4 linked regions of the Elephas maximus indicus genome follow. The protein of the gene in region 4 purifies or fractionates together with the protein of the main gene of each other region. This does not show direct contact. Links are inferred from orthologs where the notes say so. Each region holds a gene or a part of one and is shown on either strand. Other genes may lie near its edges.

What was found.
Region 1: the proteins of KRAS (region 4) and HNRNPA0 purify together in Homo sapiens (affinity purification with mass spectrometry; 3 studies listed by BioGRID and IntAct, with this or other methods). This does not show direct contact. The link is inferred for Elephas maximus indicus from reciprocal best matches to the Homo sapiens genes KRAS and HNRNPA0.
Region 2: the proteins of KRAS (region 4) and HSPD1 purify together in Homo sapiens (affinity purification with mass spectrometry; 3 studies listed by BioGRID and IntAct, with this or other methods). This does not show direct contact. The link is inferred for Elephas maximus indicus from reciprocal best matches to the Homo sapiens genes KRAS and HSPD1.
Region 3: the proteins of KRAS (region 4) and PRDX1 purify together in Homo sapiens (affinity purification with mass spectrometry; 3 studies listed by BioGRID and IntAct, with this or other methods). This does not show direct contact. The link is inferred for Elephas maximus indicus from reciprocal best matches to the Homo sapiens genes KRAS and PRDX1.

What each region holds. Positions count from the first base shown.
Region 1 is NC_064820.1:150,740,615-150,747,813, reverse strand, and holds HNRNPA0 (heterogeneous nuclear ribonucleoprotein A0), read left to right. Parts: upstream 1-4,186; 5' UTR 4,187-4,493; coding exon 4,494-5,417; 3' UTR 5,418-7,025; downstream 7,026-7,199. UniProt on the Homo sapiens protein: mRNA-binding component of ribonucleosomes. Specifically binds AU-rich element (ARE)-containing mRNAs. Involved in post-transcriptional regulation of cytokines mRNAs.
Region 2 is NC_064824.1:95,839,830-95,847,060, reverse strand, and holds the start of HSPD1 (60 kDa heat shock protein, mitochondrial), read left to right. Parts: upstream 1-4,224; 5' UTR 4,225-4,288; intron 4,289-4,383; exon of another isoform or gene 4,384-4,476; intron 4,477-4,575; exon of another isoform or gene 4,576-4,666; intron 4,667-4,949; exon of another isoform or gene 4,950-5,012; intron 5,013-5,565; 5' UTR 5,566-5,567; coding exon 5,568-5,741; intron 5,742-6,868; coding exon 6,869-7,121; intron 7,122-7,231. Other genes in the region: MOB4 (MOB-like protein phocein), read right to left, coding at 3,195-3,359, 4,019-4,021. UniProt on the Homo sapiens protein: Chaperonin implicated in mitochondrial protein import and macromolecular assembly. Together with Hsp10, facilitates the correct folding of imported proteins.
Region 3 is NC_064821.1:87,927,547-87,935,514, reverse strand, and holds the start of PRDX1 (peroxiredoxin-1), read left to right. Parts: upstream 1-4,959; 5' UTR 4,960-5,060; intron 5,061-6,729; 5' UTR 6,730-6,740; coding exon 6,741-6,846; intron 6,847-7,968. UniProt on the Homo sapiens protein: Thiol-specific peroxidase that catalyzes the reduction of hydrogen peroxide and organic hydroperoxides to water and alcohols, respectively.
Region 4 is NC_064822.1:83,951,798-83,958,941, reverse strand, and holds the start of KRAS (GTPase KRas), read left to right. Parts: upstream 1-4,130; 5' UTR 4,131-4,401; exon of another isoform or gene 4,402-4,414; intron 4,415-7,144. UniProt on the Homo sapiens protein: Ras proteins bind GDP/GTP and possess intrinsic GTPase activity. Plays an important role in the regulation of cell proliferation.

The sequences.
Region 1 (7,199 bases), on a different chromosome or scaffold from region 4:
TTAAGAGGAAGTTGTAGAAAATGTGTATTTAGTCTCCAGTGCTTAACCCCGGTGGCATAGTGGTTAAGAGCTATGGCTGTAAACCAAAAGGTCGGCAGTTCAAATCCACCAGGCGTTCCTTGGAAACCCTATGAGGCAGTTCTACTCTGTCTTATAGGGTCGCTACGAGTCGGAATCGACTGGACGGCAACGGGTTTGGTTTTTTTTCTGGGGAGGGGGAGGTTTAGACTGTACTTTCATGAACTCCTAATTGTAGTTCTTGAATCACTTTGATATAAAAAATAACATTTCTGAGGCCTTTGCCCTTAGAATTTATTCTCTTGATGTAGGGCTCACTTTTTTTCTCCCTCTTCTGACCCTACCTTTAGCCCCTCCATTTTTTGGTTCTTTGTGGCTCTTCCACTAGAGTAATCTTCAAGTATGAAGATTCACATGTAAACTGAACAGTAGGTGTTCTCTTTGCTTAAATGGTCATATTGCAGCTCCTGCCATCTGTGCCCATATGAGGTGAATCATCCACATTAATGATTGAAAATGACAGTCCTTCTTGAATTTTAAAGATTTTTTTATTTTGAATTTGAAAAATATAAAAAGAATTCAGAAGGATATGTACATATATGTATTCCTGCCTCTTCCATTGCTGTCAAGTCCATTCTGACTCATAGTGACCTTATAGGACAGACTCAGACTGCTCCAGATGGTTTCCAAGGCTGTAAATCTTTATAGAAGCAGACTGCCACATCTTTCTCCCATGGAGCAACTGGTGGGTTCAAACTGCTGACCTTTTGATTAGCAGCCGAGCGCTTAACCACTGTGCTTGGGTTCCTTTTCCTGCTTCTAGTGCATTGCATTTCCTTTGCCTGGCATGTTGGGCACGAACTCTTTTTGTGTGATAGAAGTCAAGGTGACAAAGAATTGGCAGATCTTGAGCAACTTAATGCCTAAAAGTCTCAGTTTCTTCAACTAGAAGATTGACATTATAAAACATACCTCTCGAGATCCTTGTGGGGAGTCAATAAGATAATGTATGACAGCACAGGGCACTGGATTGGAGTTCCAGTGGGCATTTGCAAGACAAAAGTAGAGATCACTGAATCTTGTATCATTTAGAATTACATGTAAACAAAAAACAACAAATGTAAACAGGTGGGGTTTAAATAAGATAGACTTAGTTCTCTCTGGAGTCTCTGGGCGGTACAAATGGTTAATGAACTCAGCTGCTGATCAAAAGGCTGGAAGTTCAAGTTCACCCAGAAGTACCTTGGAATAAAGACTTGATGATCTACTTCCAAAAAATCAGCCATTGAAAAACCCCATGTTGCACATTTCTACTCTGATGTACATTGGGCCGTCATGAGTTGGAATCAACTTGATGGCAACTGGTTATTTATTTCTCTCTGGCCTAAATTTAAGCCCCATGGTAGGCAGTCTTTGGCTATGATAGCAGTCTCTGGGTGTTCTGAACTCTAGTTTCCTTCTGGTGTTTAACTCCAGCTATCATCAATGGGGTATGACTCTCAGCTTCTAGGTTCAAGATAGTTACTGGAGCACCAAGCCATCCCATATACATTCTAAGCTGCAAGATAGAGGTAGTAACAAAGAAGGAGAGGGAGAAGGAGGAGAAAAAGGAGGAGAAGAAAGAGGAGGAGGAAGAAAAGGAGGAGGAGGAGGAAGAGAAAGAGGAGGAGGAAGAGGAAGGGTGAGGGGGAGAGGGAGGAGGAGGAAGAGGAAGGGTGAGGGGGAGAGGGAGGAGGAGGAAGTAGTAAAGGGTATGTGCTAGCTGTCTTCTGAGAAAGTTTCCTAGAAGCTGCCACTCAGTATTTTTGTTTCCATTTCATTGACCAGAATGTATTCACATGGCTACACTAAACTGCAAGAAAAGCTGTCTTTATGCCCGGAAGCGAAGTGCCCAGCTAAAAGTCGTAGATTCTATTAGGAGGCAGAAGGGAGTACTGCATATTGCAGTAGGCCACATCTCCACTCTCCCCTCTCTTATGCTACCTTCCCAACAACTGTGAAACAAAAAAACCCACCTGGCCTACCTCCTCAGTTTTCCTCATTTTGGTGAATGAAACCATAATTCACCTTACCATAAAATAAGAAACTTTACCCACCCAAACCAGTGGATCACTAATCACTACATCCTGTCAATTCTGACTCCTAAATATCTCTTCAGTATTTCATCCTTCGTAACCAATCCCTACTGCCTCTTCCTTTCTTCTGGCCCTTGAAACGTTGACTACTGTTATATGAATTTACTTCTGACTCTTGAAATGTTTATTAGTATTATGTAAATACTAGCATTCTAAATGGGCTCCCTTCTCAAGTCATACCCTGCCTCTAATCACTCTCCTACACAGCCCACTCTCCGGCAATCTTTTTAAATGTAAATTTCTGTTATCCTTCTCCTTAAAACTCTTCAATGGCACCATGTTACAGAATTAAAGGCTGAAATCAGTAAGACATACACAAGCCTTGGCTCAGCCCCTACTTACCTTTCCAGCTTCATTTTCTCTTGTTCCCACTCAGGCAGGCAGAATAATGCCCACCCCCCTACCAAAGATGCCCATGTCCTAATCCCCAGAATCTGTGACTATGTTATGTTACATGGCAAAGGAGCATGAAGGTTGCAGATGAAACTCACGTTGTTAATCAGTTGACCATAGAGAGATTATCTTGGATTTTCTAGGAGGCAGAATAGTCAGTGTCAGAGCGATCAAATGTGAAAGACTCACTGGCCATTGCTGGCTTTGAAAATGGGAGGAGGCCACAGGCCAAGGAATCGACTGCACGGCACCTGACAGCAATACTTGGGGGCTCTTTGTCACTTAATAACTATGTCACACTCCATGTATCTTGCTTGGCACACAAAGGTTCAATAAATGGAAGCCATTATAATTTTTTTGTATTGCCACCTGAGTGAGGCCCCTTAAGGCAATTATCAGGGCCTATCGACTCGACGGCACTGGGTTTTTGTTTGGATTTATATTTATGGAAACCCTGGTGGCCTAATGGTCAGGTGCTACAGGCTGCTAACCAAAAGGTTGACGGTTAGAATCCACCAGGCGCTCCTTGGAAACCCTATGGGGCAGTTCTACCCTGTCCTATAGGGTCACTATAAGTTGGAATCGACTCGACGGCCAATGTGTTTGGTTTTGGTTTTATTGGTATTTATCTATAAAATGTTTAGTTACCTTCACTCCTAGTCCGATAGAAAACATTTTTAAAAAGCTAACATTTTAACTGAGAAGGCAACGCATAATGTATATCAAACTTAAAATGTGTGCACTGAGGTAAAATTAAAATATCTGCAGTCGAGGGAGGGAAGGGGGCCAGGCGTTTCGCCTTGGTCGGAAACTCTGCCGCGCTTTTTGCGCTCTTTCACATTGCCTCGGGCTCGATTTGCGCAGGACAACGTGTCAAGTGTTTTAGCTTAACCGCACGTCGGGCCCACTGTAAACGGTTAATAACTGCCTTTCTGGACCAGGCCTCTACCCTCCATCTTTATACGGAGGAAAGGCGCCTACGCCAAGTGTAGCAACCAGGCCTAGAGGCGACGGGTAAACCTAGGCCCCCAACCCCAACAGTCAAGTTTTCAAAAAGCCCGCGCGTGGCGCCCCAGGCCGCATCCGTTGAGAACGGCCCCCAGCGCGCCTCCGCTCCCTCCCCCGCCAAACCCCCGGCTGGAAGAAGCGTAGGAGCGGAAAGCAGACTCCGCACACAGGGGGCGCCGGGCCCATCGCGCGTCAGGGTGCGCGTCCGTCCAGCGGCTCCGGAAAACGGAAGTGGGTGCGAGGAGATTGCTGTGATTGGCTAAACTGCCATGTCTCTCAAGGGGCTGGCGCGAACGCCACTGCGGAGTTGGGCGAAGGGAACAGGAAAGGGGAGGGGGCGAGTCACCGGGAACAGCTGCGGGGCTGGGAGGAAATGAATCGTGGAGACGCGTCAAGCGCAGGGAGAGTTCCTCTTCAGGGCACATAGGACACCAGAGAGTGGAAACGGGGCGGTACAGGTGGTGGCAGGAGCCACTAGGTCGAGGGATTGAATAGACCGCGGAGGGCGGGAAGCCCGTGGTAGAGAGCGGCGCTGCGGCGCAGGAGGTGGGACTAACAAGAGCAAGGCGGGGATTGGCGGTCAGCCCTAGGCAGCCGTACGTCGGCGGTGACGCACACCTCGGGGAGGGTGCGCGCGCGTTCAGCGGCCTCTTTGTGTGGTGCCCAGATAGGGGAGCGGAGGTGGCGGCGGCGGTAGCGGCTGCCTTGGTTGTCTTCCAGTTTCCTCAGCTCGCCCTCTAGCCGGCACCTCTCCCCTTCCCTCCCCTTTCCTTTTTTCCTTCCTTCCCTCCCCTTCCCTTCTTCCCTTCCCCGTCGGTGACCGGCGGTGGTGGCTCCAGCGAAGGCTGGGCCCAAGCTTTGAAGAGGCCTTAGCCAACGATAACGGCGACGGCGAAACCTCGGAGCTCGCAGGGCGGGGGGAAGGCCCGTGCCGTGGAGATGGAGAATTCTCAGTTGTGTAAGCTGTTTATCGGCGGCCTCAACGTGCAGACGAGTGAGTCGGGCCTACGCGGCCACTTTGAGGCCTTCGGCACTCTGACGGACTGCGTGGTGGTGGTGAACCCCCAGACCAAGCGCTCCCGTTGCTTCGGCTTCGTGACCTACTCCAATGTGGAGGAGGCCGATGCCGCCATGGCTGCCTCGCCCCACGCCGTGGACGGCAACACGGTGGAGCTGAAGCGGGCGGTGTCCCGGGAGGATTCGGCGCGGCCCGGCGCCCACGCCAAGGTTAAGAAGCTCTTTGTAGGGGGCCTTAAGGGAGACGTGGCCGAGGGCGACTTGATCGAGCATTTCTCGCAGTTTGGCACCGTGGAAAAGGCCGAGATTATTGCCGACAAGCAGTCTGGCAAGAAGCGTGGTTTCGGCTTCGTGTATTTCCAGAATCACGACGCGGCAGACAAGGCCGCGGTGGTTAAGTTCCATCCGATCCAGGGCCATCGCGTAGAGGTGAAGAAGGCCGTCCCCAAGGAGGATATCCACTCCGGTGGGGGCGGAGGCGGCTCCCGGTCCTCTCGGGGCGGCCGAGGCGGCCGAGGTCGCGGCGGCGGTCGAGACCAGAACGGCCTGTCCAAGGGCGGCGGCGGCGGCGGCTACAACAGCTACGGTGGCTACGGCGGCGGCGGTGGCGGCGGCGGCTACAATGCCTACGGAGGCGGCGGCGGCGGTTCGTCCTACGGTGGAAGCGACTACGGTAACGGTTTCGGCGGCTTCGGCAGCTACAGCCAACATCAGTCCTCGTATGGGCCCATGAAGAGCGGCGGCGGCGGCGGGGGAGGAGGCAGCAGCTGGGGCGGTCGCAGTAACAGTGGACCTTACAGAGGCGGCTATGGCGGTGGGGGTGGCTATGGAGGCAGTTCCTTCTAAAAAAAAAAAATTTAAAAATGCCTGGGAGTGGCTATAGGGGTAGCTCTTTCAACAACCCAAATGGGGTCAACTCCTAAGTCCCTTCCCTTTCCCACCGCCTTCCCCATTTTGCCCTCGTGGGAGCCGCTAAGGCTGCCTCCCCTTGGGGGTGTTGCCCTATTTGCCTGCCACCTCTCTTGTCTCTCCCTCTGAAGATGGACTCGGCCCCACATACACATTTTTGTGTTACAGTCATTGATGGACTCTATTTTTTTATTATTACTTGGACCTTGGTCGTTTTTATACTAGCAAAATGTCTTGTTTTAATTTGTGTTTTTTTTGGGGGGGGGAGGGAGTGAACTTGCTGATTCTGTAGCAAAACCTGGGTGGGGGTTGGGGTGGGGGGTAGTTTACTTTGTTGTAAGGACTTGATACCTGGCTGCATCGTTTTCTATGAAATCTACTGGGATCCCATGCCTGAAATTTGGAAGCATATGTACAAAAATCATTTTTACGTTTTATTTTTAATAAATCATTGTGTTTGACCGTATAAGTCTAACCTTTTTTTCCTAGGATCCATTCCGTACTGTTTTGAGGAATATTAGTTGAAGGTTTTTCGTGTTAATTTTTAATTCTTGATGTGTGCTTAGAGAAACTTTTAAGAAGTCCTGTGGGTTTTTTTTTTTTTTTTTCCTGTTGCCCTGCTAGTGGCTGTTGAATTTTATCCCTTAACAGGCAAAACTTTTGAAGTGGTGGATGTGGCTTTTTAAACTCTTTTTAAGTTTCTATGCATCCATCTCTTGTACTTAGCGATTTGCTTGTCATCTTGACATGGTTGGTCACTTATTTCTATGAGAATTTACTTCAAAGTATGTATTGTGTAGTTCTAAAGAAATAGTTTGTGTTAAGCATGTGTTTTCATTCATATAAACTGTTTAAAAATTTTCTGATGGCCTAGTTTCAGCCCTCTTATTGGTTTGTAGGTAATGAATGGTTACAAATAAGGGTTATATTTTACCCTGAAACTAATGCGTTTTTGTATTTTCAGAGCAGGTTTAAACGTTTTTTTTTTTTTTTTTTTCCTCCTGTACCTGAACCGTTGTCCTCATGGAAATCCTTTCCCCCAACCTTTGTAGCACCATCTACTGGCAGAATGGCAGTATATCTGCAAAACAATTTGTTAAAAAACTTGCTTAGGACAATTGCATCAGATTTGGATGTTTTACCATCAAAAGTCTGTGCTGACTTGGAAGTTACACATTTACTTGTAATTGAAATGGGCTTCACAGAATGTAGTTAACAATCTGTATCACAGTTGCCCTTTCTACATGAGTTTTGAAAATGTACTGCTATGCATAGCTTGGGTAATAGCCCCAAATTGCTATGACAACAAATGAGCCAGCTACATGTACTGGTATCTTAGGTGCAAGTTGTAAAACAAAATATGTGTACTCTGCTTGGTTAACAAATGTATATTTGTAGCCCTTTCATGCAATAGAATTCAAGTTGTTGTTTATAAAAAAAAAAAAAAAAAGAACAATGATAATAGGAAAAAATTGCCTTCCTGGATAGAAATATAGAATAGCAACGTTTATGGATATCACAAATAAAGAATTCAATTCTTTACATGATTGAGTGAGACTATGTATAACATGGTGGGTGGGTTCAGAGTATTTATTAATCTAGTATGTTTAACTTAATGTCATAATAAATTATTTGACTTAGATCTTGCAGTCAAAAGCCTGAACCTATACCAAGAAGCCTTCTGAAAGGGAGATTATTGGGCTTGGAGGTATTTGAATA
Region 2 (7,231 bases), on a different chromosome or scaffold from region 4:
ATGAACCAAGGCTTGGGAACTATCACCTTATATCCCAAAACCCATTTGTTTGGGTCTGCAGCAAACAGCAAGAGGCTAAGTGGAAAGCCATGACCTTTGGACTGGATTCCTAATTTCGCAATTTATCAGCCACATGGCCTTGAATACATTTCATCTCCTTTGAGTCAGTTTTTCATTAGAGAAATCTGTGCTCACAATGTTACGATATTCACAGCAACATTATCTAGCTGTGCCTGGGGCAGAGTAGGAAATTGGTGACCCTCTTGGGTGCTGTAAGAAAAATGAGATTTTAGTCATAATTCTTTTATCTAAATCCTGTGGCTAAATCCATATACATGGGAGGTATATACTAACTACACACATACACAACATACATAAATTTTTTTTTTTTTTTTTACATAGCACACTATTATTCCCTGCCGCTTATAATTTCCAAGTCCACTCAACATAAATGGAAAACAACTTTAAGATCACAAAATAGTTCATAAGAAACTAAAACTAAAAAATAAATTTTGCCCTTTTAAGACAGAAATAGCTAGTAGCTGGTAGTCAGTTTAGGGGCTGTTATAATCAGCTCTGATACAATACTATCTGGGTTCAAATCCTAACGCTACTGATACCACTAAGAAACACCAGAGCAGGATATTTAACCACTTCTGTGACTCAGTTTCCTTATGTGTTAAATTCAACAAATTATTAGATGTCAAAGTCCCAAGAAAAAGGAGCCCTGATGGTGCAATGATTAAGCACTCAGCTGTTCAAAGGTTGGCAATTCAATTCCACCAGTCACTCTGTGGGAGAAAGATGTAGCAGTCTGCCCTGTAAAGACTGCAGCCTAGGAAACCCTATGGGGCAGTTCTACTAACAGCACACAAGTGCTGGACAGGAGACATTGGGTGGCACAAATGGTTACTCAACTACCATCTGAAAGGTTGATGGTTCAAAGCCAGAGGTACCTCAGAAGACAGGCCTGCGGGTCTACTCTGTAAAAGTCACCGCCTTGAAAACCTTATGGAGCAGTTGTATCGTGCACATCCTGGGTTGCCATGAGTGAGACTTACTTGACAACCAGGAGCCAGGCATTGTTAGGTACCACCCACCACCCTTACCACAGGTGATTATCCCAAGGATTAACTAATGTAATGTATATCAAGTGTTTAAAGTATCTATCTGACACAGTAGCAAAGAGAAAACTTAAAAGTATCAAGTTTTCAAGCACAGCCTCTGAAGGCGTGCCAACTGCTATGACTAAACCGTGGCTTTGTTACTTCCCGCTGAATGACCTTGTTATTAATCCTTCTGTACCTCAGCTTCTTCATCTGCAAAATGGAACAGTACTTAGAGCTCCTATGTCAACAATATATGCACAGCACCTACAACAGCAGTCAGCAACCTAGAAAATGCTTACTAGTGTTAGCTATCATTATCACACGGTGCCTAGTCTGACATTCAAAAAGCACTGTCAATGTTAGCTAATGTATCCTGCCTTGGATTTTTTTTTTTTTTTGGCCAAATAAATTACAAACTAGAAACGTTCATGTCACTAAATAAATTTTGCAAAACCTTGAAAACATAGTTTCTAGGAGTTAAGAACAGTACTTTACCATTACAAGCCTGTTATGTTGTTTATATATTTTAAACTGTAAGTGTGAACCCATTGATTTTTATCAGCATGATTTATGTAATAAAGCTACATTAAGTGTGAAAATGCCTCTATCTAAAAAACAACCTTGTTCCCCAGAATTCTCTATGGGTTACTGGGAGAAAAAAAAAGCATATACCACAGAACCCTAAAGTCACTAAACAAAAATCAACCATTGATTTACATTTTTTTATTTAGAAATGTTTGTACTAGTACAGCAAAACTAAATTTTAGAGATGCTGGATATCATTAGCTTAGATATCATTAGTTTATTACAAAAAAAAAAACATGGAGATTATTTACATGATGAAAGATTTCAGAACTTCATTGGAATGGGCAGCTTCATGTGATGCCATTTCAGTATTGATTTATTTCAATCTACATACTTCCCAAGGATGTCACCATCTCTAAATAAGAAATAATCCTGTAAAAAAAAAAAAAACCGTTAGTTAAGACAGTTAACAGTAAATAAGTTCTTTTTAAAGTTACTAAGGTTACACACCTTGTCATCCAGAACTACTTTGGTGCCTCCATATTCTGGGAGAAGAACTTTATCTCCAACTTTCACGCTAACTGGCTGAATTTCTCCACCCTTAACAATATAAAGATATTTACCGTTAGCTCACCAAATGTTTACGTGTAACTTTTAAACCACTATAATCAACCATATATGCTTACTCAAAAATGTTAAAAATGCATTTAATGGGCAAATAATTTAGTTGACAACATTTTCTTTTCACCAACAGCAATATACGCTTTTACTGCTAATTCTTCAGTCATTAACATCCCCTTAAAGGGTTACACTTTTAAAACAATACACATGTCCCGACTTAAATCCCCATTTCAGTGTAAATGTTCAAGGGGTTATGCTGGAAAAGCTAACTTTAATTAACTAAAGCCAACTCCGTATTTGTTAAATATTAACCTATTAACTATACAAAATATACCAAAATGGTCATGTTTACCTTCTTACAACCTACAGAAGTTTTCTGTACTTTAAAACATAAACTTCTTTTGTAATTAATTTATTTTCCCTCCAACGTACAGATGATTTCCAGGGGAAAAAGCTGATGCAGAGGCCCAGAACTTCCCAATGCTTAACTCCAAGATAGCTTCTTGCTAGAACTTTCTCTCTTCAGAGCCATCTGGAGGATGCATTTAACATACTTCACCTCAAGGGCATTTACTGTGTATTCTGGCTGACACACTTAAGAGACCTAAGATCCAGCCACTAAATCCGAGAATACCTGGAATGGTAATTCAAACTGTTCCTTTCATAGGTATTCCAACAAAACCGCTCTAAATTCTTAAAGCCCTGGCACTTTAACTGAACCGTAATCTTTCATTTTAACTGTAATTTTAATAATCTGGAAATCACCATCCTAAAAATCTCACAATCATTTTTTGTCGAAGAAGCAGATTAAAGGTGGTTGAACCACGGAATGATTTTAAGATGGCACAGCTATTAAAAAGGCTGCTTTTAATAATAAACCATGATTTCTTATTCCACCCTTTCCCTGCGCACACAAAAAAATTTTTAGACCTCGTTTACCTTTCCTTTAGATCCGGATCCAACAGCTACTACTGTTGCTTGCAGTACTTTTCCTTGAGACTTTTCTGGAAGCATAATGCCTCCTTTGGTTACAGTTTCAGCTGCACTCCTTTCCACCAATACTCGGTCAAAGAGGGGAAGAAACTTCCTAAATGCCTGTCCTGCCTGTAGAGACGAAGTTTTTACTTGTAGCAAAAAATCACATTCTGAACAAGCAATACCAATGAAGGCGTTACATCGAAGGACACATTCTAGCTCTCAAAAATAAACACCAAAAATCATATTACTAATAGAGGAATCAAATTTCAATGTTCCACTCTACAGTCCACGTTTAATTTTCCATTCCCTGTATCTGTTAGCAGTCGTCGTTGCTCTTCCAGTCAGTAACTGTACCAGCTTTAAGGGCAATTTCAGCTTATTTCAAGGTCAAGTATTTTCCTGCCGCAGGTTTTTCTGGAAATTTTCAGGAAATGTAGACAATCCCCCTTCCTGGGTCATGCTCTTTCTCCAACAGATTACACAAAGACCCAGCGGAGAAGTAAACTGGCCGCCCCGCGTGTCTGGGTTCCCGCCCCCTTCCCCACACTCATGCTGCAACAGGACACGTGCGAGAACAGCCCTCGGCGTTGGGAAGGGTAGGCTAGGCCCTTGCCTTCCGGCTCGGACGACTTCTCCTTGAGGGTCTCCTCTATCCACGGTCCAGGCGAGTGGCGGACACTAAGTCACCCCTGCCTCTCCGGCCAGGCCCCAACGGGGCTCTCCGGGCTCTCCATGCGCCTCAGACCGACCCAGCCCCGCCAGCCTCCAGCCCACACGGGACTCACCATAGTTCTGGTAGCTGCAGCCCCTACCCAGCTTCGCTACGCCGCCGCAAGGAGAGGCCTGCAATCTGGCCCTCGGGACACGTGAAAGTGGGAAAAGAGCGGCCAGCGCGCAGGCGCGGTCTCCCGGCCCCCGCCCCACCCTGCGAGGGGGCGGTCGCACCTGCGCGTGCAGCGATTCGTCTGAGAGCGCTGCGCAGGCCGCTGACGCGAGGATCTGGAGGCGGAAGAATTGAGCAGTTCTTTCTAGGCTTTTCTAGGCCACCCGAAGAGGTGAAGGAACTATCCCTCCGTACCCCCCCCGGAAATGATGCAATTTAACCCTTGACCTACAGAAAGCGCGGTGCTTTCCGGAAAGTTCTGGAACCGAGCGCGGCCCGGGAACTAGCCTAGCGGACTGGACGGGGCCGAGCCCGCTGGCCTGGCCCTGCGCGCGTAGGAAGGGGCGGGCTTCGCGCGCGGTGCGTACAGATTGCAGGGCCCGGCCCGGGGGAGGGGGCGGGAGTCGCCCACACGTGTGGTGCGGCGGGGCGGGGGGAACGGCAGGGGGAGGGGACACGGGCTCATTGCCGTGTGCGTCCTGCACTCTGTCCCTCACTCGCCGCTGACGGCCTGTCTCTCTGCGCTCTCGCTCGGCCCGCCGCCCCGCAGGTACGCGGGCCGCCTCACCCTGATGCCTCCGACCCCAAATCTTTGCTTCGTCGGCTGCGGCCCGGCCTCAGTGTGGCCGGCGGAGCGAGAGCCAGGAGTTCCCCGCGGCGTTGCAGGCCTGGTCCGACTGGGCCAGGCCTCACTAGTCTATGTGGGCTCTCATCACGTGCGGCACTGAGCGCGGGCCTGGGCAGGACGCGGGAGGGAGGGCTCATTCCGCGGGTAGAGTCTGCGGGGCGGGGGAGGGGAAGGGTTGTGTTCACGTGGGCCTTCTGGTGCAACCCGCTCGTGGCCGACGGTGGTCGCTGCCGCGTGGGAACCGAGTTCAGTTCCGGGGGCAGTAGGGGTACGGCGCTTCCACCCTTGACCTTGCTGGGGGTGTTCTGATGGACAGATACCTGGGGTCGCGCGGAGTGGGCCGGGTGGCCCCCGCCAGCATCGCGGTCTTGCTAGCTGGTCTGATACAGTAGCCGCGGGTGGATACATGAAATCCGTTTTTCCTGAGCGGATTTCTGCAACGTCAGGAATATTTTCACTTCCCTAGTCGCTCTGGTGTATAACGTGCTTCTCTCCAGCTGGCTTGGATTTTTAGGAGCGCCAATGGAGGGGATTTGTTTAGAGGGCCAATTTAGCTGTGAAACATTACCTCGTTTTTAGCGGCAGGAGAAGGTGGTCATGGAGAAGGAAATGGGTGTTCTTTGTGTTTGTGTTACAGAGCAGGCACTATTGAGCCTTTTGATTTAAGCTTTTGCTAGTAGCTGGTGTTCTGAAGCCGTGGCGCGTTCTGTGGCTAGCAGAGGTCATACTTAACGTTTCTTATTTATTGCACAGGTGGCGTGTTTTGAGCTGCAGCGCACCTCGAGTAGTGCTAGTACTCATCTGCTTTTTTTCTCCTCCAGAAATGCTCCGATTACCTGCAGTCCTTCGACAAATGAGGCCAGTATCCAGGGTACTGGCTTCTCATCTCACTCGGGCTTATGCCAAAGATGTAAAATTTGGTGCAGATGCCCGAGCCTTAATGCTTCAAGGAGTAGATCTTTTAGCTGATGCTGTAGCCGTTACTATGGGGCCAAAGGTATCAGTATTTTATTTTAATTATGATATTTGAGGAATGATATCTTACTGTTGCAGATAGATACACTGAACTATGTAGTGTTACTTTGGTATCCATTTTTTGAGAAAACCAAATTTACATTAAAAAGTTACAAATTATTGGTTAATTTTTTTGTCCTTAACTGTAAAGGTCATAAAACCTAGTGTTTCAGCCAAAGTTTCAAAAATAATTTGCATAGTGTGTGATGTAATGGAGTGGTAATTCATAGCTCAAGATGGATTCTTAAACTCAAGATGGAACTCATATCGCATGCTTGTTCACTTACATTTTGGACCTTTTTCCAGTAGTTAGTGCTGGGTATAGAGGGCAGAGTGTAACTTTTTATCTCCCATAATACCTAAAGTATGTGCTTGTATGCTAGTTTTACCGAGAGTTTTTCTGCTATTCTTGTTCTAAAGCACATTTATAGTTTAAAATCTTATTTGACTAAATAGTTTCAGAGGTAATAAACATCTAGAGGAGGCCTTTGACGGTGGTGTGTGGTTGAGTGGTGTTCCATTTTAGATTGAAGACAGTTCAGATACCAAAGTAATCCAAACTGTAAAACACAGGCATTTGCATGCCTCATGAATAGAAAGTAGCAACGTCGGTGGGTTCAAATCCCAAACCTGCCAGTACTACTTGTGCCGGATTTGAGGTTTAATGTTAAATAAGCTTGGATGGAGCTTATTGTTCTTGCCTTGATAAGTAAATTTTAAAGTGAGTACTTGTTCTGAAGATACTAGGCACTAAGCACAATTTAGGTACAAATAATGTGAAGAATGTTCTAAAATTTCATTAATGGTCTACCAATTTGGTATTGATTTATTGTTCATTATATAAAATGACATCTTTTAGTTGTTAGAATCTTTATTTCTCATAATACCTTATCAAAAATTATGTATTTGGCTGAGTAACAGAGGTTATTTGCCTATGAACTGACTGTTGACCTTGTCCTTGAGATTCATGCTGCAGGACTGATGAAAAGGACACATCATGCGTTGAGGCTTTCAAGTAACTGTCCTATTATTAAGATTGTTCATTCTGTTTTAGTCTAATTACTAAGAGTATATGGCCCTGTCTTTTTTTCCCCTTCTCTGGGATTCTAGGGAAGAACAGTGATAATTGAACAGAGTTGGGGAAGTCCCAAAGTAACAAAAGATGGTGTAACCGTTGCAAAGTCCATTGACTTAAAGGATAAATACAAGAATATTGGGGCCAAACTGGTTCAGGATGTTGCCAATAACACGAATGAAGAGGCAGGGGATGGCACCACCACAGCTACTGTCCTGGCACGCTCTATTGCCAAGGAAGGCTTTGAGAAGATTAGCAAAGGTGCTAACCCAGTGGAAATCAGGAGAGGTAGGAATGTCTTTTTATTTATCAAAGTGTCTTGATAATACGGTGTTGGTTCCCAGGACCTAAGGAAAGTGCTTGTTAAAAAATTGATTCCTCCTCTTTACTAAAAAATC
Region 3 (7,968 bases), on a different chromosome or scaffold from region 4:
TTGGGTTAAAATTTATATGTTAGTGTTTTCTCTTATGTTTTTGCCTAATAGTGAAAATATTAGACAATAAATGAATAAGATTGTGTCATAATTTTATTATTATTTCTTACTTGCTAACTGGGTTACAACTTTATTAAATCAGTGGTTCGATTGGGGAATTCACATCATTTACCTATGAATTTTTTTTTTTATTACTATTCAGGTATTTAGAGACTTGACAATCTTGGTATATCCTGACTATATGGTATTATGTCTTAAGATTATTATGTATTATATCTGAAGCTCTTTGGAAATAAGGTTAACCATTATTTTTAGTATTATTTTTTATCTAACGTGTTTTAACTGATTTTATTTGGCCTTTACATTATGCTTGTAATTAATTTCTATCAAGTGTTTCACAATTAAGAGTGTTATTTATATAAGTTAATTATGGCCATATTCAGTTTTGTCATCTGCAGATAAGTGTTTACTTTGCTGATTTGCTGAAAACATTTGACCAAATTTCTCAACAAAAAGATGGACTGTATTGGACTTGTGAAAAGGACTGTGACTAGACTGAATAAAATTTCCAGAACTCTTATGCAGAGGCTGATGGGCTTACAGACCAGCTGAAACAGAAATTAACTACATAAGATTGAGTAAAGGATACTATGGGTTTTATGTGGGAATGTTGTTGATGCTTTAAGGTTCTACTTTCTAGATATAAGAAATTGTTTTCTTTCTCCTAAATTATCTAACTAATGGGTTTGGATATTTTAACTGTTGAATTAGAAGTTCCTGTTGGTAAACTTAGCAAAGTTGTAAATATAAATTTCTGAAGTTGGAGCTATAATTTTATAAAATAGAACAGCATTTCCTATTAGTCTCTCAAGGAACAGTTTTGTGCCTTAACGGATAAATGTTGCTATATTTATTTAAATACACAACCTGAGGTTTTGCAGAATGTAGTTGCTACTGAGACAACATGAAAAGCAGTTACTGATGCGGCTTATGCATAAATAAACCCCTCATGAAATTTGTTTTCTTGGTTCAAAGACCTTAGGGTCATGGTTTCATTAGTTATTTCAGACAGTTGGCCTCATACTATTGTTAGTGTTTCTATTCTACTTCCTAGTTCGCTGTATGGTGCCTGGGATCTTAAAAACCAGATGGTGCCCAATTACTGTTTATTGAGCATTTTTGATCAAAGATTCTATAGCAAGATCATGATCCAAAGGAGGGAACCATGAAAGAGTTATAATTCTTCTGGAATCCAGATTTCTGGCTTTCATGGAGGTTAGAGTAACCCATAATAGGAAATGCTGTTCTATTTCATATTTTAAAATTATAGCTCCAACTTCAGACATTTATATTTACAACTTTGCTATTGCCTTTGGGTGTCATTTTGAACCTTGAGCTTTGAGGAAAAAAAGGGTTCCTTGAAGAATTCAGTCTTTTGGGGAAACTGACTCCAAAGATTAGACTGAGAGTTACGTTTAGGGTAAATCAGTAATCCGTTTAATTAGTCTTCAAGACAGTCTAACGTTTATAATCAAACTCTCACCCTCTTACTATGTAGAAATTTATGTATCTTAAAGAAACCAGGTTCTCAGAGGAGGTCGACCTCATGGTTCAGACTCCATATTGTCTTAGGCTCCACTTTTGCTTCTGAGAAAGTGACTCATGACTGTTAATAGATAAACCAAAGAGGGGCAGCCTGCACTCAGGAAGAACACTTATTATGTTTTAAAGAGATTAACTGACGATCTCCAACAGGTGAGGTCCATCCTCTATTATCTTGCTAATCGTGAATTTTCTAATTCTCTGTTTGTCACATGTAAATTTTTCTATATTTTCTGTTTTCTCCAGACAAACTTTGTGTCTCCTTGTGGATATATGTTTTTATGTGGTAGAGCCAACTATACTAGTTTAGATGACTCCTTTCCAATTGATAGTGAATTTACGTGGGCAATCTCTTGTTTAGATCTCTGGTGAATGCATGGGCAATGCACTTTGGGAATGTTAGGATTACCTTTAGATATTCATAGTAATGATGCCAGTAAATATTGGAAAGGTAATGTTAAACTGTTATACATTGTAAAATGAAAGTCAGATGAAAACTCATTGGTTTAGCGCTCAGGGTATTGTTGGTAGCTTTAATTCCTACTTATGGTATAGTTGAATTGGAGAAATCTTTAAGAAATTTATCAATCACTATGCAACTAATAGATGAAGTTGCTAATGGGGTGGAAACACAACAGCAATCTCTGACCTCATAAGCCAAGGTGACATGAGATAATGGAATAGCCTTAGATTTTTTTATTGGTCCAAGAAAGTGTAATCTGTGCTGTAGCAAATACCTCTTGTTTCATTTGGATAAATAACACAGGAGAAGTAGAACAGGATATACATAGAATTAGACAGGCTACTTGGTTACACACTGTAATACCCTTACAAATACCAGATTTATTTAGTTGGTTACCATCAGGAATAAGTACATGGGCTAGATCACTATTGCAAGGGATAGTAATATTTTTAGTCTGTATCCTGATAGTATTATGCATAATAAAATTTATCTTCTATTGTCTTACACACCTAAAAGCCAAAAGGAGGCCTCGAGCTAAAATGTTGATGTACATTTAGTCTGCTTACTTCAGCAACGCAATTAATGAGAACGTTGCTCTTACTTAAGATTCTGGTGAAGAACCAGATGGTATCTGGTGGAAAACCAGCACTGTGAGTTTAAAGAGCCTACCATGGCCGCCATCTAGGAGCTCCACTAAGTCCAGGTATTGATCATCGATGTCTTATCTCCAACTTCCAATCAAAAGGAGGGAATGATTTAGTAGATGATATTGGAGCCATTATTCCTTGTCCTGGAATGTGACTCAGCTGGAGCTGGACTCACAAGGACTGTTGTAGGGGAAAAAACATCACAAAGTTTAGTAACCCAAAAAGAAAGCTTTATTTGGCATATATTCAAAAAGACAAAAGTGGGAAGCAGACAAGCATGCTGCCAGAGCTAATAATGTCTGCCCCAAGCTGGAGGAAGGCTACATTAGTAACATTACAAAAATGGGTAGAATCGTTGAAAGCTTCACCTTTTCACAGATTGGCTAGAAACTGTGGTATTACATTTTGAATTGCTTTTCTTAATAATCATTGGTATAGGTTTCAGTAACTGACAGTCAGAAGGGTCTTCATTGGTCCAACAAATATCTACTCACTAAATGTTAATAGAAAAAGGTAAGAGTGCAAAGTCTTTTGTGTTTTGTTTGATTGGCTTTATGTAAAAAGTTCCCTAAAAGATATTTTTCTTCCCTAAAAGATAATTTCTAAGATTGCTCTATCTATTGTCTTTATCTCTGGGCCCAGCGCATGTGTCCTTGTGACTCTTTGTGGGCCCAGCTTCAGCTGGGTAACATTCTCTATGCTCAAGGACAGGGAATAATAATCCCAATATTATTTTCTAAATTAAGACCCACAAAGACTCACAAGGACACATAAACTGGGCCCTGAGGCATAAAGACAATGGCTAGGACAATCTTGGAACACATCTTTTAGGGAATCTTCCACATAAGCTAGTAAAACAGCACAGAAGACCCATATGGTTTCCATTGTTACCTTTTTCTACTAGCATTTAGTGAATAGTAAGATTTGTTAGGCCAATGATGACCCTCCTATCATTACTGAAGCCTAGACCAATGATTGTTAAGAAAGACACTTCAAAATATAGGATCACGGTTTCTAGCCCATTTGTGAAAAGGTAAAACTTTTAATGGTTTTGCCTATTTGTAATGTTAATATATACTGATGATTCTGCATTGTTCTTTGGACAGACATGGCTCTAGCAGCAGGCATGTCTATTTTCCCACTTTATTCTGTAATATTTGCTTGGAGTTTGGGCAGACAAGGCCCTAACAGTATGCTTGTCCTTTTCCCACTTTTGCCTCTTTGCATATATGCCAAATAAAACTTTTCTTTTTGCTTTACTAAACTTTGTGATTTTTTTTTTTTCCCTACAACAAGCCATTCCCAGAGACTATCTTTTAGCCAGACCATAGACAGGCCCACAAAATAAAAACACTAGAGAGGAACATGCTCCTTAGAACAACCAATTGAACTAAATCAAAAGGGCAATATCTGCCCACAGGGATAGATGAGAAGGCAGGGAGGGGTAAAAAATCAGGACGAAAGGAAATGGGGAACCTAGGGAGGAAATGGGGAGAGTCCTGACACATCGTGGGGAATTAAACCAATGCTATTTTTTATGGAACATTTTATGCACAAACTATCAAATGGGAAACTAATTTGCTCTGTAAACTGTAACCCAATGCACAATTAAAAAAACAAAATCATAAGGCTTTTAATTCAGGGAATTGACTACAGAGCCCTGGTTTTTAAATCACAAATCCAAGGAGTGACATGATCACATTTCAATAAGATTCCCTTCAGCTATAGTGGAAGGAATGGATGGGAGATGGAAAACAGCTCAGCCAATAATCGGAATAATAAAGCGGCTTTATATTTTTATCCAAGGTACAGAAACCAGGGATACTAGTCATCTGGCAGACGCTGCGGTGACTGGGACGATTTGAGAAGTATTTAGATACTTCTCTCAGGGCTTGGTGTGTAGTTCCCAGGATGTCCTCCGTGAGCGACAGCGAGGACCCTTAATCTGGTTTGCGCTTTAAGGGCACAGCGCGCAAGGGGTCCTAGAAGTAAAGGAATCCCGGCCCCCATTGAGATCATAAATTAATTGAGGACTTTGGGCTTGAGGGCGGCCGAGAGTGCATCCCACTCTCCGACCTCAGCCGTTGGTGGCGGCAGTGATGACTGGGGGCGATTAGTACTATCTGCGACCACTCCCGCCCCTCAGCGAGGGGAAGTGCTGAGTCATTCTGGCGAGGCGCGATGGGACCCGACTGCGAGTGGGGCAGATTCCCCCTCCCTCTCCTCCTCCTGCACCCCCGGCCCACGCCGACTCTCGCGAGAGCCCAAGAAACTATAAAGGCAGCGCCCCACGCAAGCTCCGCAAATTCTTTTCCTGGCTGATCTTGGTGCCTTCTGTTTTGCAACTGGTGAGTCTCTAGGTAGCTTGGCCTCGCGAACCCCCCCACCTGTTGCTACTTTCTGCTCTCTTGCTTTTCTCCGGGGCTCACATAGTCTCTGTTGGAGGCGCCGTGACCGGCGAGGCGGCCCGCGGGGGCCTGGCGCCTGAAAGTGTTTGGGCGGTCCCCTCACCCCGCGTTGCGCATCTCCTTGTGCTTTCGGGGACTGGTTGAGCCCCGAGGCTTACACCCGCTCCAGTCTCTTTCCCTCGAGCAAAGTGTGCTGGTTGGCTTGGCGCGCGGCTGGGTGAGGCGGCGTGGGAGCTCCACGGCTAGCCTCCTGCGAGGCAGGGCGGGTTCGGGAAGCTTCTGGAGTGGACCTAGAACCAGAGCTGTGGCTGCAGAAGGTTACCCGTAATCGGTCTTTGTGTGGTAGAGGTGAAAGCGGCCCCGGTCTTCAGCTGTGATTTGCTGTGAGGTTTTCCCAAATTCCCTCGCTGAAGAATGCGCAATCTTTTCTGCTGGCGATTTCCGAACTACTAGGATGAGGGTGACGTTGGGAGCGGCAAGAAGGTACCTGAACTGGGCTTTGCAGGCGTGGCCCTCTCTAGGGGGTTTGGGAGCGTGTCTCCTGAGGGCGCCGCACCGACCGGAAGTCCAGCAGACTTTCCTCTTGGTTGGTCGGGCTTTTGTGGTGTTGGGGTCACCTGGAAAAACAGGTTTGGACGAGAAGCCTGTTTCTCTTAGGGCCACACCCCGTCGCCAAGTTGCAGCGTACCTTACGGTTTCTTTGTTAAAGGGTGTTAAAATAGTTTTTATTTTATACAGGCTGTGAAACCTTTGCGAAGATCGATTCTAGGCATGCGCACAACGTTTCCTTTGATTGTATTATGAACCGAGAACTTTGGGCATTACGGGAAAATTAGTTTCTTAGGGTTTTCAAACCGGTAACTTAATTGAGTTAAATCTTAACTCCTTATCTTGGTATTGATCTGGGCGAATCCAATGCATTAAACTGAACTCTTGATGGCACTGATTTTTCTTCCGGGATCTCGGCCCCGAGGCCAGACACCCATTTTGAAAAGACTTCTAGGGCTAAATCCAATACCTAAAGTTTTTAAATTGAGCAGATGCCAGAATCTTGGTCTGGATTGGCTTTAGGGCGTGTGCTTTCTTGGGCACATCCACCTGGAGAAAGTTCCAGTGCACTTTACATCTTATAGATGGAGGTGCAGTCGGCAGAAAGGCAACATGAGGGCTTGTGGGAGTCAGGCAATCAGCGTTGGTGGCTTTGTGCATTGTGTACTTGGGTTCTGGTTTGAGAGTCTCTACCTTATCCCTCCCTTCTCGGTGCTTCTGTATAATGAAAAGGCAGAAGAAAATGCCGGTTCATAATGTCTCAGAAAAGGTGACTTCGACTTACTAAAAAATTGTCCTTTTTAGATGAAAACAAAGACTGAGATTTCAGAGACTTTTGTAACATCTGGGTTTGGTCCAGAAATTAGAAAGCTCAGATTGTGGCCCTTCCATTGTGACTCTTGGCTGCTGGCTTGCATTACTAATGATAAAAATTTTGTGTTCAGGACCACTGGACCTGATTGTTCTTGGTTCTACCACTAAGTCCCTAAGTAGGTGAGAGCTACCTTGTATCTAAAAAGACAAGACTTGTTTTTAATTCATTTTCTTTTATCTTTTCCAGCTGATAACAAGATGTCTTCAGGAGCTGCTAAAATTGGGCACCCTGCCCCCAACTTCAAAGCTACAGCCGTTATGCCAGATGGTCAGTTCAAAGATATCAGCTTGTCTGACTACAAAGGTAAGAGTAATTACATGGGATTCATTATAATGGAATTATGATCCAGAGATAACTTGTTAAATTTTGGTATCTGTTACATTTGATTCTAAAATTCTTTGTATCTCCCAGGACAAGGCCTTTAGGGCAGGATTCTGTTACCTTTATGCTGAAGCAAAAGAGTGATGATCAGTGTTTACAGAATAGATATTGTAGGTTCAGACTTCTTCTGGAGAAGGCACATGCTTCATTATATGTAACCATATTAGGTCAATTTGATTTTCTCAGTACTTCTGAATTGTTTTCATTATCATCTCTTCTGTTAAGACGCCTGGCCAGGCCCAGTGGTTAAGAGCTTGCCTGCTAACCAAAAGGTTGGGAGTTCAAATCCACTAGCCCCTCCTGGAAACCCTGTGGAGCAGTTCTACTCTGTCCTGTAGGGTTGCTGGTGAGTCGGAATCAACTTGATGTCAACGGGTTTGCTTTTTTTGCTATATTCTCAAGTCTTTGGGCTATGATACAGCTTAGTGGTCATTTGTGAAATGTGTGTGTCACAGCCATTACGTTATTAGGCAGAGGGCTCAGGCCCATTCCCTTGACTGTTTTTGCCGCCCCCGCCCCCCCGCGCCAGAGAAGAGTTGATGTCACAGCTGAAACAACTCCCCTTAGTTACGTGCAGACACTTGGCAGTCTCTAATGAGGCCATTCCTTTCTTGCAGTCCCAGAGCACCTGGGTCTTCTGGGATAAAGATTTCTTAGAATGCAAACCTCGAACTCAAGTGTACTTCCCTTAGTGGTGTAGTAATTGGTTCTTGGAGTTGGCTTTTGGGTAGAACTTTTAACTAGGTTTCCTAACACGTCGCACTTGTTCGATGGTGATGAGAGCAAGTAAGTGGGGCCCTGTGGAGGGAAGCTTCTCCTGACAAAGTAAGTAACACCAGAGGTACGTGACCCTGGCCCAAGAGTATAGGCATTAGGTCTAGGAGGAGCAGCTCTCTGCCCTCCAGGGCTTGATCTGCTGAGGCTTCAAAGTGCTTGTTAGGTAAAGCCCTGGAGGAGTTATTTAGATGAGTCAGCTTCTAGTTACTTTCCTTTTCAAAGTAAATGTCAAAAAAAAAGGCTACCTGGGAATAAAGTAAATGTTTG
Region 4 (7,144 bases):
TTAGATCAACTGAACGGAATCACTGGATGAGAGGTTTAAGAACTGGTGTTTTTAACAAGCATGCCAGGTTATTCATTAAGCACTTAAGTTTGAGAACCACTGCTCTAAGCTCTGTGTCAAGGAAGAACGGGAGTGATGGGGTGAGGCTGCTGGCTTCTGAGAAAGCACCCAGGGCTGAATGGTGAGAAGGCCTGACAGAACAGACAAAAGTTGCTGCAGGAATTAAAAGGAAGGAGAGAAAAGTGTGTGAGCTGTAGCCGGGGTAGAGGGTTCATGGAGAGAATAGTGGAATGCAGATTCGCTTTTGGGGATCAAGAGCCTAGAGAAGGTAACTAAGACCATGTGGATGGATTAGGTTTCTGCTGATGTCAGAATTTTTATATTATTAGCATTCAAATGCTATTTAAAGCTTTTCCCTCCTCTATTTTTTTTTTTTTTATACTACAGGTCTTTTAAGATTTATAGAGGGCCACCTACAGGGAGACCACTGCATTAGTTTCTGTAAGAGAATCTAAGAGCTTATCACATACTTGAAGCTACACAAAATAAATCTGTGATTGACACCTAAGAGTGACTACAAAGTAACATACAAATAAGTGAATATTCACTCATTTAACAAAAATTCATTGTGTCCATTATGTACTGGACACTTTTCTAGACTCCACAGGTTTATCAGAAAGGTGACCTGGGAGAGTTTAAAGGCAGATTTTGTAAAGTGGTGACGACAGAGATTGGCAGACACTTACGGCACTCTCAGTAAGGATTTGGAGTCACAGAGTTCAGGAAGAGGGTACATGGCTTCATTCATTCGACATGCCACAAATATTTATTGAGTGTGTTATTTGTTTCAGAGATGTTGTAAGCACTGAAAATACACCCGTAAGAAAAACAGGCAAAATCCCTGTCTTCTTTGAGCTTGTATTCTATTGGGAGAAAGAGAGAAAATAAAAGTCAACAAATTGTATAGTATATCAAACCAAAAACCAAACCCATTGCTGTCAAATCAATTCCAAAAAGAACTGAGCTATAGGATTTCCAAGGAGCGGCTGGTGGATTCAAATTGTTGATGAATGTTTAGCAGCCATAGCTCTTAACCACTGCGCCACCAGGGCTGTGTATACTGTATTAGAAAGCAATAAGTGCTCTAGAGGAAACTAAAGCAGGAAGAGAGAGAGGATTTGGGGGAAAGAAGGGGAGTTGTAACATCAAAGATTATCTTTAGGAAGACCTCATTAAAAGAAGACATTTGAACAAAGATTTAAAGTAGGTTGAGGGTGGATATAGAGTGGACAAGTGTTTCAGACATAGGGGCAGCACGTGCAAACTCCCAGAAGAAGAAGCCTGCCTGGAATGTTCCAGGAACAGCAAAGACCCAGTGTGTGTGTGGAATGAAGAAGGGGAGAGTAATGGGATAGGCAGTAGGTAGAATAAGAGGATAAAAGAGGTAAAGAGAAAGTCAGCAAACCATCTAAGGTGGTGCAGGCCTTTGAAAGGACTTTGGCTTTTATGTTAAGTGGGATGGGAGTCACTGGGAAGCTGGGAGCATAGGAGAGAACATGATCTGACTTGAAGGACATGTCACATTTTAGCTTGTGAACTTGGACCCAACATTTAACCTCTTTAACTGGTTTCCTCTTTGGCATCTTAAATCCACCAGCTGCTCCCTGGAAACCTTATGGGGCAGTTCTATTCTGTCTTGTAGGGTCGCTATGAGTTGGAATCGACTTCATGGCAATGTTTTTTTTTTTTTTTCTGTAAAATAGAGAAAAAATATTCTACTTCATGAGGTTTGTTTTGACCATTAAAGAAGATACACGTACAACATTTAGCGCATAGTTGACATAGAGGAGGCACATTCCCTGCCTTCCTTCTTCTGCCTCTTCTACCTGATGCCTGAGTGTTAAGAAAGTGAGACAGGAATAAGCCTTGCAGATCACAGCCCATATAAAGGGTAGGAGTCAGAATCGACTTGACGGCACTGGGTTTGGTTTTTTTTTTTTAAAGGGTAGGAAAAGAAGAAATAAGGAAGAAAAGTTGGCCTTATAAGGCCTTGGTTAACAGACAGAAGAGTTGGGATTTAAGACAATTGTTTTATTGGTGGTGTATGTTTTGGACTAGAGGGACAGAACTGGAAGTACTCAGATGGGTCTATATTAAGTATAGGTGCTGGTCTGCCACACCTCAATCTTAAAAACTCTCCCAATTTACCTTTCTAGGTAATTAATCAGAGCCCTGGGGACACAGTGTTTAAGAGCTACAGCTGGCAGTTCGAATCCACCCAGCCACTCCTTGGAAACCCTATGTTGTTTTTGTTGTTACGTGCCATCCAGTCAGTTCCAACTCATAGAGGCCCTACGTACTACAGAATGAAACACTGCCTGGTCCTGTGCCAGCCTCACAATCGGTGTTATGCATAAGCCCATTGTTGCAGCCACTGTATCAATCCATTTCATTGAGGGTCTTGCTCTTTTTCGCTGACTCTCTGTTTACCAAGCATGATGTCCTTCTCCAGGGACTCTCTCCTGACAACATGACCAAAGTATGTGAGACACAGTCTCGACATCCATTCTTCTAAGGAGCATTCTAGTTGTACTTCTTCCAAGGCGATTTGTTTGTTCTTTTGGCAGTACACGTTATATTCAATATTCTTCTCCAAAACCGCAATTCAAAGGTATCAGTTCTTCTTTGGTCTTGCTTATTCATCATCCAGCTTTCACATGCATAGGAGGTGACTGAAAACACCATAGCTTGGGTCAGTCACACCTTAGTCTCCACGGTGACATCTTTGCTTTTCAACACTTTAAAGAGGTCTTTCGCAGCAGATTTGCTGAATGCAATGCATCTTTTGACTTCTTGACTGCTGCTGCCATCAATATTGATTGTGGATCCAAATAAAATGAAATCCTTGACAACTTCAATCTTTTCCCCTATGGGGCAGTTCTATTCTGTCCTATAGGTTCGTAGAGTTGGAATCGGCTGGAGAGCAAGGGGCTTTTTTTTGTTTTGTTTTTTAAGTAGTTAATCAGCACAGTCGCTGGGTTTGTTAGCATATTTAGTTGCTCCACTGTTAATGTGTTTATTCTGTGAAGGTTAACTAAATAATCTTCAGTCTTCTAATTAAAATCTCAATGATTGTCCTTTAATCTATCAAGGGCACTTTTACTTCAAAACAGCTTGTCTTCTGCTAAGGCTTCCATGACCAATGGGTACATCTGAGGTGCCAGTTTGGAGAGACATTGTGATGTCTCCAAAATGCCAAGAAAAGTCAGCTCCATCCCGTAAAATTAATGATGAAAGCATTGTTTGGGCCTGGAGCTAGGTTCCCAGCACCAGAACGTCTATGCCGATCAGGGATTAACCAGAAAGAGCGGTATGCACTGGTTTACAGTAAGCAAGGTACGCACAGGCTTAATTGCGTTTACTTGCTAATCTGTAGTGCACAATTTCACCACGTAAAACCAGCTGAAATTGTGCACTACAGATTAGTAAATGAGCATAATTAAGCCCGTGAGTGCGTTGCTTATTGGGTAATCCGCCCCCCGTGCTGATAAAATCAGGTAGCGACCTGGTTGCCCCGGGGTGAACTGTCTGCTTCTCTCTGAGTCGCCAAAGTCGCTTTCCATATTTGGTGATTGCATATTTATTTACATACAATAAATGATAGTAACTGAAAGTGCACAGCAATAGGCCTACCCCAGGGTGTGGCGAAATTTTCGTAGCTTCCCCGTGCAGATCTGATAGTGGTGCAGTGGGGTGTCTTATAGTGTCTCTGGTGTGCACGCAGCCAACCGCGAGCCTGTGCGAGTCGGAATCTGCCAACGAGCCGGCCGCTCAGACACGGGAGCCTGGGCTGGGGGCGGCCCGCCGCGTGGGCCCGGCATCCCCCCCTCCCTGCGGAGGCACCGCCCACGCCGCCCCGGCCCTCCTCCTCCGCAGCCCCAGCCCCCTCCTCCACCACCCCAGACCCTCCTTCCAACGCTCGATGGGCCCCCACCCTCCTCCGTCGGCCCGCCCCCTCCGCGGCCGCCAGCCCGTCCCCCGCCCTCCTCGGTCGGCCCGCCCCCTCCTGCTCCCCGGCGGCGCTCGCAGGCTCCCTCTCTTCCCTCTTCCCACACCGCCCTCGACTGCTCCCTCCCCGCACGCCCGCCAGAAGAGGAATCGAGCGCGGAACGCATCGATAGCTCTGCCCTCTGCGGCCGCCCGGCCCCGAACTCATCGGTGTGCTCGGAGCTCGATTTCCCTAGGCGGCGGCCGCGGCGGCGGAGGCAGCAGCAGCGGCAGCGGTAGCGGCGGTGGCGGCTGCTCGGCCAGTACTCCCGGTCCCCGCCATTTCGGACTGGGAGCGAGCGCGGCGCAGGCAGTGAAGGCGGCGGTGGGGGCCAGAGGCACGGCGGCTCCCAGGTGCGGGAGAGAGGTACGGAGCGGACCACCCCTCTGGGCCCTTGCCCGAGTCCCGACCCTCTGCGCCGGCGCCGGGCGGGGCCGGCGGCGAGTGAATGAATTAGGGGTCCCAGGAGGGCCGAGGAGGGGGCGCCGGCGCGGAGCCCGGGCGTGCGGGGGGTGGTCTGCAGGGGGAGTTGCGGGGACGCGGCGACGCGGGGAGTGAGGAATGGGCGGTGTGGGGCTGAAGAGGGTGAGGCTAGAGGCGGCCGCCGCTTCTGCTGCTTCCTGGACGGGGAACCCCTTCCTTCCTCCTCCCCGAGAGCTGCGGCTGGAGGCGGCCGAGGAGAAACTCGCGGGCCGGGCCGGCTGCCTCTCGGGGCGGTCCGGTGCGGTGGAGATTACTCCTGTAGCGCCCCGGTGTCCCCACCCCCTCGTTGTCCTTCCCTATCCCTCTCTCTCTTTGCTCCCGCACCTTTTCCTCTGTTCCCTGGCGCTCGACTGCCTTGGTTTCTGTCTTCTCTGCTGTATCTAGCATCCCTAGGGCGAAGGTATAAACTCTTTCGAGTGCAGGCTGGATGGATAGTGGGCCTTTTCAGTGTGTAGAGGGATGTGTGGTTAAGAGGGGAGGTCAGGTTTTGGAAGAGCATAGAAAAGTGCTTAGAGACCACCGTTTGAGGTTATTGTGTTTGGAAAAAAATGCATCTGCAGCCGAGTTCCTGACTGCTCCCCTCCCCCATGTATGGGCTGTGACATTGCTGTGGCCACAAAGGAGGAGGTGGAGATAGAGACGGTGGTGGAAGAACAGGTGGCCAACACCCTACATGTAAAGTATGAGGCTGTGACCTACAGTGAAAAGGAAAAAGTTAATCGCAGAAGGTCCGTTTTGCTTTATTAAATTAAAACACACGGAGAAAACCTTTAGAACACAAGCAAGGCTTTTTCGTTGCTAGTTGAGTGATGCAGACAGCAAATTACAAGTACAAGCAAATTAAACTTTCAGTTTAATTTGCTTGTACTTGTCCTTTCCCTCTGTCTCTTCTGTATTACTTTTATCGTTACAAATTTGTTGCCTACCCCAAGAGTTACGACAGTACTCCGTTTAACAGCACTCCTACGTTTTTTTTTTTTTAACTGGCTTATAAGAGAAGTTGATTGTAGCAGTAGACTAACTGCCTGAAATACTCTTAGGCATGTGCATGGTATAGCTGAAGTTTTAATCTAGCCTTCTTAAATCTCGATATCCATCAAAACAAGAGGTTAAGGACAGAAAGGTATTTTTCGATTTTTACACACTATACATGCTATGGAGCCCTTGTGGCGTAGTGGTTAAGAGCTATAGCTGCTAACCAAAAGGTTGGGAGTTCGAATCCACTAGCTGCTCCTTGGAAACCTTATGGGGCGGTTCTACTCTGTCGTATAGGGGCGCTATGAGTCGGAATCGACTTGACAGCAATGTTTTTTTTTTTTTTTTAATCTTTTATTGTGACTGTAGGGTTGCTATGAGTCAAAATTGACTCGACAGCAAGGAGTTTGGTTTTGGTATACATGTTATGTTTTCAATGAAAAAAATGACTTAAAATTGTAAAGAGAAAAAAGTCTATTTGTAACCGTCATCTCAGAATTAACCGTATGACTGGTGTCACTTTTAGGTGACTTAAGATCCAAAATGCTGACTTGAACATGTGACAGACTTATGGACATCAGTTATGGTTGATGTCAATACTGTTTACTTTGAGGCTGTAGCCATCTACAGGAGTACTTGGTTTTAAGAGAACTGATAAATAGTAATTTGTTTTTATGACAAAAGTGAACTTTTTATTTTATTTTTTTGCTTAACAAAAATTGTTGAGGTCTAGTCCCAGTTTTACCCCTTGTTAGCTTCTGTAAGTTTGGATGAGGGAGGCCCTTCTGGTCTGTGCCTTTCAATAAGATTACTTTGGAACTCATTTTTTTCTAGTGGATTTAAATATTACTTGGTTATTATTCTTTAAGGGTCCATCTCCCCAGAAACAAACACTGCATAAACAAGTAGATTCCAAGATGTATGTCTTTGAATTCGCACATGCATGTACTACTAAACTCTAATACGATACTTGCCCACACTGTCTTCTAGGCTAGCAAGCTTTTTTGGTCTTAGGACCTCTTTATGCTCCTAAAAATTGTTGACGATCTCAAAAAGCTTTGATTTCTGTGGGATGTATCAGTATTTACTATACTAGAAAGTGAAACTGAAAAAATTTTTAAATTATTCATTTAGAAATAGAAAGAAATTCTTTATGAAAAATAACTATTTTCCAAAACCCAAACAAAAATTATTGAGAAGAGTAGCATTGTTTCACACTTGTGCAAATCTCTTTAATGTTCCGGTTATTAAAAGACATCTGGATTCTCATATCTGTGTCTGCATTCAATCAGTTGCAATCACACATCTGGAAAACTCTATACACTTGTCAAAGAATGGGAGTGAAAAGGGCAAGTAACATCTTATTATTATTAGGAAAATAGTTTTGACCTCTTGGACCCCAAAATGTCTTAGGAACCCCAAGGGGTTCTCAGACCACATTTTGAGAACTGTTGTTCTAGGTTATCCACAGTGGGGTTTTTTTTGGTGGGCAGTGGGGAGAGTGGAGCTACAGGATACATTTTGGTGTGATTCCCCTCCTCTTCTCCCATTTGGACACATCATTTGAAAAACCATTTGCTAGAAAACGACATCATGTTTGATAAAATCGAAGTTCAGCAAAAATGAGGGATACCCTCA